Linked DNA regions of Neodiprion lecontei. Each later gene encodes a partner of the first gene's protein in a complex. Links are inferred from orthologs where the notes say so. Each region holds a gene or a part of one and is shown on either strand. Other genes may lie near its edges.

The links. The genes of interacting proteins can lie anywhere in the genome.
Region 2: ruvB-like helicase 1 (region 1) and bromodomain-containing protein 8 share a complex: the UniProt entries of both Homo sapiens proteins name them as parts of the nuA4-related complex. The link is inferred for Neodiprion lecontei from reciprocal best matches to the Homo sapiens genes RUVBL1 and BRD8.

What each region holds. Positions count from the first base shown.
Region 1 is NC_060263.1:38,142,472-38,147,615, reverse strand, and holds ruvB-like helicase 1, read left to right. Parts: upstream 1-2,027; 5' UTR 2,028-2,141; coding exon 2,142-2,282; intron 2,283-2,775; coding exon 2,776-3,451; intron 3,452-3,712; coding exon 3,713-4,266; 3' UTR 4,267-4,596; downstream 4,597-5,144. Other genes in the region: solute carrier family 35 member E3, read left to right, coding at 137-628, 715-867, 953-1,035, 1,166-1,304, 1,379-1,447; glycine dehydrogenase (decarboxylating), mitochondrial, read left to right, coding at 5,090-5,144. UniProt on the Homo sapiens protein: Possesses single-stranded DNA-stimulated ATPase and ATP-dependent DNA helicase (3' to 5') activity; hexamerization is thought to be critical for ATP hydrolysis and adjacent subunits in the ring-like structure contribute to the ATPase activity.
Region 2 is NC_060266.1:5,248,922-5,256,143, forward strand, and holds bromodomain-containing protein 8, read right to left. Parts: upstream 5,564-7,222; 5' UTR 5,379-5,563; coding exon 5,360-5,378; intron 4,693-5,359; coding exon 1,646-4,692; intron 939-1,645; coding exon 756-938; 3' UTR 519-755; downstream 1-518. Other genes in the region: uncharacterized protein LOC124295608, read right to left, coding at 1-60; T-cell immunomodulatory protein, read left to right, coding at 5,803-5,849, 6,285-7,222. UniProt on the Homo sapiens protein: May act as a coactivator during transcriptional activation by hormone-activated nuclear receptors (NR). Isoform 2 stimulates transcriptional activation by AR/DHTR, ESR1/NR3A1, RXRA/NR2B1 and THRB/ERBA2.

The DNA.
Region 1 (5,144 bases):
TCGACAAAACATATACAATTGAATACATAACCCTAACTTGGATGAAGTAAAGATGCTCAACCTAACCTGTAACCGGTGACGTAAATGTCAGAGAATATTTATCGCGCCATAAAGATCTCAATAATAGTCTGAGAAAATGAACAAAAGAGTATTAACATTTCTCTGCTTAGTACTAAATATATTTTTTTCAATACTTATTGTATTGTTAAATAAAATGGTGTACGTGAGGATTGGATTTCCAAATGTCACCCTGTCCATGATACACTTTGCAATAACATTTCTTGGGCTAATCATTTGTGAAAAATTGGATGTATTTTGTATAAAAGATGTTGCCATTAAAGAAATGGTACCTATCGCCCTAACTTTCTGTGGGTTTGTTGTCCTTACTAATCTGAGTCTGGAACACAACACGATCGGCACTTATCAAGTTACTAAAATGCTTACAACCCCCTGCGTCGTTGTTATGCAGGCAATATGTTATAAAAAGAAATTCGGTTTGCTTGTTAAACTAACATTAATACCCATCATAGCTGGAGTTGTCATCAACTTTTATTACGACATTAGGTTTAATATTCTTGGGACTATTTACGCTACTCTAGGTGTTATTGTTACATCTCTGTATCAAGTTGTAAGTAGGATAACTCTCACTGCTTTATGATGAATTCCGTAACCTGTTTCATACTTGAAGCTCATGGTTTTGCACATTTTTTCCAGTGGGTCAGCAGAAAGCAAAAGGAATTCCAAATGGATCCTATGCAGCTCCTTTATTATCAAGCACCGTTATCTGCAGCAATGCTGTTTGTGATCGTACCATTTCTGGAACCCATTGGTAACACCCTCCAGCATAGCTGGACATTTACAGATATTGTAAGTTGAAAGACACTTTGACTACTTTTCAATACTAAAGTTTAAACATTTGCTAACTAAAGGGATAATTTTTTTATTTCCACAGCTGATGGTGCTGCTATCGAGCGTCGTAGCATTTTTTGTGAACTTAACATCGTACTGGATAATAGGATACACATCACCATTAACGTATCCTTATTCAAACAAGGAATTGTTATTTTAAATGAAATTTTTTAATTCGATGAAAAATTATTATCTACCCAATTTATTTGCCATGCGCACAGCAATTCTCAATATGTTCTTACATAAAGTTTTCCAGTTATAATATGGTTGGACATTCAAAATTTTGCCTTCTTTTACTTGGTGGCGCTATTATATTCCACGAATCACTTGCACTGAATCAGGCTATCGGAATTACTCTGACGTTGATTGGAATTGTATTATATGCTCGAGTCAAGGCAAGTATGTGTTTTCACCGTGCTGGTAAATTTACGGTGTGAAATTTAATCAAATATGGTCTTTTTGTTTACAGATGAAAGACGGCATATCGAATATTTCACGTTTGACATTGGAAGAAGGCAAGCCACTTTATAAGACGTAGCACTTGAACAGAAAAATAATAAAAAGAAAATTGTGATACAATGTGCCGATTTTATTATTTATTTAATATTTCCCTTACTGAAACCTAAGAATATTGAACAAATAGATCTTTTATGATGATGATATAACAGAAGTTTCAAAATATGTCCAATCTGTTCTGAATTCTTTGAATACAATTTTCCCCACCTAGGACCAATCAAATTTTTTTTCCTTCACCCTATTTTCTCAAATATATTTAAACTGGGTGAAAAAAAGTGTGTTCTGTTCGCCAATAGCATTAAAATTAAAAATTATTGCAAAAGCAGGTCGAAGTCATACCTAGGGCTGAACACTGAGTGCAGTATTCAAAGAAATGTAATGAAACTGTCAAATTATATTGATTTATTAGCTTTTATCCCAGGTAAATCGGACCCGACGGTTTAGCTGCAATTTGGGCTTATATACTGAATGTAGGAAGATCATAGTACTCGCGAGATTGATGTAAAAAGCTGCAGACATCTGTTGGTAAAAGGCATAACTTAATGGGATGAATCCGATTGGATGATGTCGTATGTACGTCACATGCCTACCGACGCATGAAAACGGTGAAAACATAATTCACCGCGGCAAACAAACGTAGAACGTAGTAACACCGCACGCCGCGTGAGAGACTTGAAATTGCTTGAAATTTTGCAAAATTTATTTAATTATCAATAATGAAGATTGAGGAGGTGAAAAGTACGGCAAAAACCCAGAGAATTTCTGCACACACGCATATTAAAGGTCTCGGTCTTGACGAGAATGGTATTGCGATTCAGATGGCTGCCGGTCTCGTCGGTCAAGAAATGGCAAGAGAGGTTAAAAAAAATTTTCAATTATTTATTCCACACCTACTTCTACCCGTGGATACCGTTTGAACTTAATGTTGTGTGCCTGTGTTTTCATTTTTATTTAAAATTCAAACCCGTTCCTTCTCGTGTCGTCGTCTTATAGATATATCAAAACAACATCGTACAATCTAACCTAACCTCACATCACTGAAAACTACATACTCCAAAAAGCAAAATACAATATCAGATTTAACAACGGTTTAGAAATATCTCATAAACTCAACAATCTATGTGATACTTGGGTATTTATACTCTTACCGTTCTGAATGATATAATAAACTTCTTGCCCAGTGCCACTGATTTGTTCAACCGCTGTTGAAACAACTATTTCATCAATTATTTCTTTCCTTTGTAAATTGATCATTGTCGCTAACCCACAGCTTGAGTTATAATAACCAATTGTTCATTACAGAGAATTATTTTATTTTTACCTCATTCTTGAATGACATTAATTCTACAGGCTGCTGGTGTTGTCGTCGATATGATAAGATCGAAGAAAATGGCTGGGCGAGCAGTCCTGCTTGCAGGACCACCTGGAACAGGGAAAACAGCAGTTGCCCTTGCAATAGCGCAGGAACTGGGTAACAAAGTGCCATTTTGTCCGATGGTTGGTTCCGAAGTATATAGTTCAGAGATAAAAAAAACAGAGGTACTTATGGAAAATTTTAGACGAGCTATTGGGTTGCGAATAAAAGAAACCAAAGAAGTCTACGAAGGTGAAGTAACGGAGCTGACGCCTGTGGAAACTGAGAACCCAATGGGCGGTTATGGAAAGACAGTTTCCCATGTGGTTATTGGGTTAAAAACTGCTAAAGGAACAAAACAGTTGAAACTTGATCCATCTATATACGAATCTCTCCAAAAAGAAAAGGTTGAGACCGGCGATGTAATTTATATCGAGGCAAATAGCGGGGCTGTGAAACGACAAGGACGTAGTGACAATTTCGCAACGGAATTTGACTTGGAAGCAGAGGAATACGTGCCTTTGCCCAAAGGTGATGTCCACAAAAAGAAAGAAGTTATCCAGGATGTCACGCTGCATGATTTAGATGTCGCTAACTCTAAACCACAAGGAGGACAGGACATCATGTCAATGATGGGACAACTCATGAAGCCCAAGAAAACTGAAATCACCGGTAAAATTTGATTACTTAAGTGCAGATTTCTTTTAGAAATATATTTTTTTCTCGTAATCATTATCAGTATTGTATTGATCAAACTTCAAGTATTGATTACTGTAGTTATATGCCTTAGCAACAGACAGTTCTGAATCTCATCGAATTGTCACCGAATATTTTGAACTTCTCAAAAGAAAAGTTGCAGATGATAAAAATTGAGTGACACTTTACAAACCGGATGAGTCTCTATTTTTAAATGTGTTACATGTATATTTTCAGATAAACTGCGGAAGGAAATAAACAAAGTTGTGAACAAGTACATCGATCAGGGTATCGCAGAACTGGTACCTGGAGTTCTGTTCATAGACGAAGTACATATGCTGGATATTGAGACATTTACATATCTCCATCGTGCTTTAGAAAGTGCAATTGCTCCAATAGTTATATTTGCAACAAACCGTGGTCGTTGCATCATCAGAGGCACAGAAGACATTGCTTCGCCACATGGAATACCACTCGATTTACTCGATAGATTACTAATCATAAGAACTTTGCCATACTCGAGAAAGGAAATTGAACAGATTGTTAAATTGCGGGCTACGACGGAAGGCTTACAAGTTGAAGACGAAGCTTTGCAAACTCTGGGTGACATTGGAACTAGGACAACGCTAAGATATGTCGTTCAGTTGCTTACACCAGCTGCATTAACTGCCAAAGTTAATGGAAGAACTGTGATTAAGAAAGAAGATGTTGAGGAAGTCGGAGCTTTGTTTTTGGATGCTAAATCATCGGCTAAAATCCTGACACAGCATAAAGATAAATACATGAAATAAACGTGTTGCGTTGTTAATCCTGAGACTCGAATATTATTGAACAAATTTTTAGATTCGACGTGGTTATTTTGTTTCTGAATACAATTGTAGCAGTTTTACAATTAGTTTCACATGACTTTTCTGAATGAAAAGACTATCACGAAAGAATACACATTCGCCAGAGAAAATACAACTTATATAAATGTGTTCCAATTACCAATATGTTGTAAATTTAAGATTCCCATAATTGTGAATTGTCTGCAATTTTCCAGTTTTATGTACTTCATATTTAGATTGTAATATGTTATGTTCCATAGACCATGTCAATAAAATTCTTTCATATCCTGCGAATTTATCAGTGTACTGTTATTAGATATAAAACTAAATTTCATTAGCCAAACAAGATGCTGCAAGCAAAATGGATTATATAAAATAGTACAAGCATTTGGTAATGGAATGAAATATTTTTTTGACTAATAGGAAAGGAAAGATTTCATTTGAAAAAGCGATTTCAAGTTATCGCAGATGTGAATAACATTCCGCAATGCACTAACACAGTGTAATCTCCATTAACTGATAAATTATTGCATTTCAGTCGCATTTTCATTGACATAGTCTAAGAATCTCCGCATTGTGCCAAGGTCAACAAAGTTCAAATCGCAATCGAGAGACGCGCACACATCACGTGGCGTCATCGCCTTCAAGTGGTATAAAATCTCAGCTCACGTTTTGAACTCTTAGTTACGCACGGTTTAATAAGAGAGTACAGAGTTCGTTACCAATAGCAGGGAAAACAAGTTTCTAAATATCACTATCAAGTATTAATTTGAAATAATTTAACACGATGCAGTCAATAATTAAAGTTTCTACCTGTTCCCGACTTTTACACACTCAAAAAT
Region 2 (7,222 bases), on another chromosome or scaffold:
TTCTTCTTCTTCGGAGCTGCAGATTGCGTTTTTACAATCTCCTCTAGCATGGTCACCCATATCTCAGAATATATTTATTAAACAATTGTTCACTACTGTAGAAACTTTATTTTCGGTTTTCAGTCATTAGTAAGAGAAACTTGTAAATTTTGACATGTCCTAGAGTCATCTTATGGTCTGCCAAAATCAGTATTTAAGAGTAACTTCTGTTGATTCTTTTTTTTTTCACTGCTTCATGAATTGTGACATTTGTGGTCACGAAACTATGAAGGGTGTTCGATATGTAGAGATGGAATTTCTTCACTTCACAATTACCTCGTTCCGTTTTAGAAGCATTCGATGCAATAGAAAAAATCACGAAAATCGTTGGCCAGAATTCGAATCAATGTAAGTACGCTTTCATAATTTTCACAAGTATTGAAATAATTGAAATATCCATGGTTCATATTAATGAGGAAAAATCCTTTTTCGACGGCTGATATCAGAATATTATGAATCAATAAAAAATGTAACACAAGTTGTGGAGATAATTCTTCTATATTATGGTATATACAGTTGTGACATATTGTCCATGAGGCGTACTACACTTTAACACCTTGCAGTACTGTGGACAGTGCAATTTTCCCGATAATGTTTTTGTACCTTCAACCGGCCGCAAGCTAGCAACTTTGTCCACAAGTTGGTGAAAGGAATTTGAACACGATATACGTGAAACATTATCAAGCAACAGATCGACACTTGACTGTTTGAACGTATTAATCGTTCTCCGATTTTCTTCGTTTCTTAGTGCGTGCACTGTCAGAGTCATGTGGGCTAGGAGTTATGTGACTTCTTTTTCGCTGCGGTTTTGCAGACGAATCGCCAAAATCGCTACTACTGCTAGCAGCTGTTCTTGTTTCTCTTCTAAACGGTCCCTCGCCGGTGACTTGTACTAATATCTGTCGAAAGGCAAAATAAAGCACTAAATCAGTGATCTCAAGTTTCCAGGCTTCAAATAAAAATGATTCATGGCGTGGGTTACTCCCGTGCCAAATCCAAGTCAGAGATACATGCCCAGATATACTACCGTGCTGAGTGTTATGGCTGACTGCCAAGCATTAGTCTATCCAATATTTGTCAGTTGTAAAGATAAGTCATTTTCTTATTTTTGACCGAGAAAAGACTTTGCAAGATATTTTTTTAAACTGAATATTTACATCTGGAATTGAATTTATCGCCGTTGATTGGAATGCTGTACAACACGTACTGATTTTAAAGAACAAATCCTCTTTTGAAACTTTCTTTTGATTCTAAGTATTTTCTCTTTTCTGGAACAGCATAAGACAGGTAACTCGTACTCTCAATTACTTCGCATAGTTATGCATCCTTCCACATCAAACTTGACAACATCGCAACACCCTTCGAAATTTTTTCTTTCCGACAAAACGGCGACCATTTGAAGTTGAGATTCGATTTTTCATTCATTGTTGATCATTTTTTTTATTCAATAAAGAAACAAAACTCGAATGTTGAGAATAGAGAATTGTAGAGATATAAATCCGCAAAATTTACCTGCTTTTGCAGCTGTCTGCTCGTATATATCTATATCCCCTTAAGCTTTGACTAATACCAAAAACAGGTTAATACAATATTTTCGTAAACACACCTGCATGTGTTGCAAGCATTCTTCTTGCATGGAAACAGCCATTTTGTAGACAAATGTATCCTGTTTGTTGTACATAATGGCGTTTTGGAACATCAGCATAACATCTCGCTGGAAGTGCATTGTAGACCTGATGGTTCCATTGTCAATGTTCTTTTTAATGGTTGACAAATCCATGGGACGGAAAATGACCGAATGATAACCCGGCGCTTGATCTTCCGTGATGGGCCTCAGAAATACAGACGCATATTTGTGTGTGACCAGTCTATTAAATACCAACATAACAGCTTTCTTCCAAGCACGGTAATCGGCACCTTCCCCACTTCCTTCATTCTCTGGTTCACTGTCTATCGTAACAACCGGCCTCTTGGAGTAGGTTTTCATGGTGCGACCACCACTCAATTTACTCAACGAAGATTCCTCCTCGTCAAGGTCTCCATCGTCTGCGATTCCAGTGACCGGCTCTTTTTTGACATCTGGTTCAGGTTCCAAGGTTTCTTTTATTACCGGTTTATCCTCTGGCATTTCATTGTCTCTTGCCACCTCGTCGTTCTTCTCCGTAACAGATTCTGCATCAATTTCGACTTTAATTTTGTTTTGTTCTTCTGCTTCCACAGTTTTCTCAATAACCATTTTCTCTGCCTCCTCTTTTAATGTTGACTCTTCGGTCTTCGTGGGCTCCAGAACATCTGGAGCTTCTTCTTTCACAACCTCCACAGCTTCCGGTATAACAGGAGGATTTGGATCAGTCCCTGATACGCCGCCTACCTCTGCCACCTTGTCGTTGACTTGATGAACTATCACGTCGATAGAGTCTTTAAAGCTCTCCTTCTTGTCTTCTTCCTTTTCCATTTCTTCCGAAACATTGTCCTTGGACTCAGTTGTTGATTCGTCCATGACGATTGGCACGTTCTCGGTGACTTTTACCACCACATCAGGTTCCTCCTCGGTTGAAACGGTGGATTCCTCAGGACACGACTCAAAAGTGTCCACCATATCTGATACCTGTTCTTGAGGAGGTGTTTTGTCCTTGTTTTGCGACCCTTGCGAACTTTCGTCATCTTCTAAAATCAGACTTATGTCCTGAGATTTCTCCGCTTCCTCTGCACTAGCTCCATCGTTTGAAGTCTCGGACGATACACTGGCGGGCGCTGCCTCAGCCGATTTGTCTTGTGGGTCCCCGGTTATCTCAGCAAGATCCATTTCCAGTTGATCTATTTGCGGTTCTTGTTTAATCTCCGATTCCTGAACAGGCTCTTTCTCATCACTTGTACTGTCGCTTGTTGTATCCTTCTCAGCTTCGATGAGGTCAGTTTCTTCCTTTATCGCGTCTTCCGTCACCTCTGGTGTGGCACTCTTCTCCATATTCCGGTCTTCCGACCCTTTTGTATCCGTCGGCGTGTTTTCGTTGCTTTCAGACTCTTTTCCTTCGCTTTTGGGACTCAACTCCACTTCTTCGGTAGTATCGTCTCCTTCATAAGGGGAATTCCGAAGTTCCTCTGCTAACGATTCGTTACCCATGTTTTCCTCATCCGCATCCCCAGCCTCTGATTTGGCTTTCTCTTCAACCTTCGGCGATTGGCAAGTGACCATTATTTTCGACTCCGTAGATTCTACAGCTACGGTTCCAATGATTTCCGCGATATTTGACGTGCTTGAATCGATATCTTCTATTGCTAGTTCACTTTCAGGTGAATCCGACAATGATACTGGCTCATCGACGTTCCGAGGTTCTGGACGAGGTTTCGGGCGAGGTTCGGGACGCTTTGAGACAGTTTCTTGAACCGTTTGTACAGTCAATGGTTCCACAACAGTGGCCGCGGATGGAGTCTCGTTCGTTCTTGGGCTTGAAGTGATCTCCTCTTTGATCAGCTCCTCAATATCTCCAATGATTTCGTTTATTTCATCTTTGTCAATAACGTCGGCCATTATATCCTTCCCAATAACTTCGTCTATATGGTCTATTATCTGTACCATACTCTCTGTTACCGGGATGTTCTGAGATACCGATACCGGCGGTGGAGGATTGATTACTTGCAAAACACCTTCGGATGTTGACGGTGCGTTGGTTGGTAGAGAAGAATGAATTTCGGGAGGCATACTAAGCTGCGTTGTTACCGTAGAGGACGGTTGCAAGTTTGGTAACGGTCCACGCTGCGGATTTGCCGGCAATTCCAAAAGCATAGAAAGCGTTGGCGCACCAGCTGAAGGTCTTTCGGGTGGCGCGTTTGCTATTGCGGTAGAGACCAATTGCTGCAATTGGGAAGAAACATTTTGTGCCAGACCACGATCTAGCTGGGAACTCGGGACCTTTGGACTCGAAACTAGGAGACTGGCTATGGTAGGGGAGCTAGCTTTTGTTGGCGTCGGTGGTGTTTGTACTTGAGTCGTTGGGCTGGTGGACTTTAATAAGCTCGTCAGGAGCGGCGATCTGCCCCCTCGTTTCTTTTCATCCTCGTCATTATTCGATGACTCCGATACAGAAGCATCATGGTTTTCCATCACACTGTCTACCGCTTTTCGGTGGACAAGTGGTGGCGGTGTTATCATAGATTCTTGCTTTTGTTGTCGTTTGGTTAGCCATGCGGCGTATGCTCTGACTTTTTGCTCCTGTTCCCGTTCTTCTTGTTCAATGACTTGCCACATTTTCTGCAGCTTATCGTCGGATAAGGGGCCGCATTTTAAAAGGTTTACTTCCGCTTTGAGCTGCTGATATTCGTCTCTTTGAAACGCAAGAATTTGTTTCAGTTCCGCAATTCTTTCCTGTGTTAATCGATTCACTATGGATTCAGCTTGCGTTTCTCCGCTCTCCCTTTTTTTCCTTTTCGGAGTATCCGCTGTTTCCAACAAGTGTGAATATTGAACGGCACAAGACTTTTGAGAAAACCAATCAGGTGGTCGCAATGCTTCTTTTTCAGCAAACGGCTCCAATGATTCGGACACGGCTTTCCAATTCTGAACATTCTCCCCAGAATACAATACGCTTGCAGCCAAGCATAGCTGCTCTCTTGTGCTCCATGTATCGTACGGAACACGTTTTACTTTCATCCCTACGATTGCAATAATTTATTAATAGTTGAGGAATAATCATCTCTGGAGACTTCCATGCAAGAACAGCAATCCATTTAACTAAGACTTGGCAAGTATCTCCAAAAGTAAATTGTACTTTCAAGCATGTCTCCAATGATTATCATGTTTAATTTCTTACATAGATACATTGATTCTCTTCAGTGATGATTGGCAATGCTTTAGAAATACAAGAAAAACTTGTTGGTGTGTGAAAATTAGAGATTTAAAAATTTTGTTTCCAAAATATGTGTGAGTAAAAAAACTGAAAGGAGAAATGGTTGTCTATAACTACGGCTTGAACCTGGAAAATATAAAGATTCTCGAAACATCAGTCCAATTTGGAATACAGTTAAAAATAAAAGCTTGGTAAAGTATCAATCGCCTTTGTCATCCAATTCGAATGATATTGTGGTTATGTTTGCAATACACAAATAAAATCGGTTTCGCGTGGAAATCTCCATCTGTAAATTTAGTCTAAATGATTTCGAAGAAATAAATACTAGGATTAATCAGTGTTTTGTGACAAATAAAACCGTGAAATCACCGTACACAGTTGAATAATAAGTCGTTTGTGTACTCTAACCTAAAAACTGTGAGTAAACGAAACGGCAAAATTAGTGAATATACAGAGTCTAGGCGATAACTTACTGTCCTGTGCAGATGCCATGTTGCTACTAGTTCTTCTTACATGTGTGTCTCATTAACAATTCACTGAGTTTCTTGGTCATTCATGTTTTGATACAAAACGTACCGCAATTCTCGTTCAGTTTCGTGCACTTCTCAGTTTTCATTTACCACCGGGAAATACAATACGCTAATGCAACCACACAGAATACAGCCCAGTGCTGAAGTTGCGCAGACTGATGCGCAAGAACTTTGTAAGACAGCGAGAGAGAGAGCCAATGGTCGACTTGATAGTGTAAAAGAGATACAAGATAACTGATAGAATTCAGAACACTGCAGGCAATCCCCTATTTTCGTTATAAAAAAAGCACTACATTTAGTTAAATTGTGCTGTAGTGGCAAAGCTGAAGCTGTTTTAAACTATACATGTCCTTCAAAACCAACGAGATAGAAAAAGACGTACATACATGCATAGATCATTTTCCGGACGGCTGTTTCGATTACATGTACCTGGGTGTGTTATTTTGACAATTGAGTATGACAAAAGTCCATTTAAGAACTATGCAGTACCCGTTAATAGAATATTGTATGCTTGAATAAGGAAATACAAGGGACAGATTCCTGTTTGCAACAAAATTCAATCAATCGTCTTTGATCTTCAGAAATAAAGAAATACAACATCTTGACATCTCCACTAGGTGAGAATAAGTAAAATATCGAGAAGTTCTAACCTCTGATAAAAATGTGTTTTATGTTTATTGAGTAAACATAAATCATTACCTGCCTCCTTGATACTTACATATGCTTCGCATTGCAAGTAAAACTTGTGACATACAATTGACAGAATTACAATAAAATGTAAATAGCTTAGATGGGCATAGAAACCACAAACTGAAAAGAAATTAAATAAGCAGATGACTCATTACTGCGTATCTTTTTTTCATTGCAGACTATGTAAAGCTATCGAAATGGGCAAGGCAATTTTATTTGTTTACCTCATCTCGAATTTTTTAATTGTCGCACGATGCAGCGACATAACATCAACGGTATATGGAAAAATTTTGGACAAGATGCCTGCAGCGTTTGGCGATTTCAACTCTGACGAATTGACGGATGTATTTGTGATCGACACGGATGGTAAATCCGTTGAAATTATGCTGGCAGCCGAGCAAGAGCCTCTCCTGAGGCCTGGGGTAGGCTTAAAGTGTACCTTTAATAATTCAGTGACCAGCATTGTGCCTGGGGATTTTGATGGTGACGCATTTATGGATGTTTTCGTAACAACGATAAAGGACGGTCTAACCTACGGACACATTTTGTGGGGCGGAAACGGGCAGTTGAATTGTACACCTGAGTCGAATCCAGTAATTGTGATGTTTGGACAGCCGTTAGCCATCGATTACAACCAAGACATGATTATTGATTTGTTTGGACTTGATGCAAATCAAACAAGAACATTTTGGATATTCAATAAGAATAGAACTTCACCAGCAGTTGTAAAAATGCAATCTAAAAATGGGGATAACTTTGCGCTCATAAGAAAACCACATTCCAACGCGTTTCTAGATTACAATGGCGATTTTATGCCTGATTTATTTATAACAACGGAGAATGGATTTGAAATTTGGCTGGGAAGCGAGGAGAACTTCACTCTTCATCAAAACATCAGCTTGCCGCATAATTTCGCCGTCGTTGGTCAATCTTTATTCTTGGACGTCGAGCTCACTGGCAAAATGGACCTGATTCTACCCGCATGTTATGATGCCGCATGCAAGAACAGCACTATTATGATACACTCAAATGGGTGGCACAATTTACAAGTAGATTTCAAAGATCCTGACAACATTGACTGGGGTTTCTGTAAACCTAACGGGCGGCGTTACACGG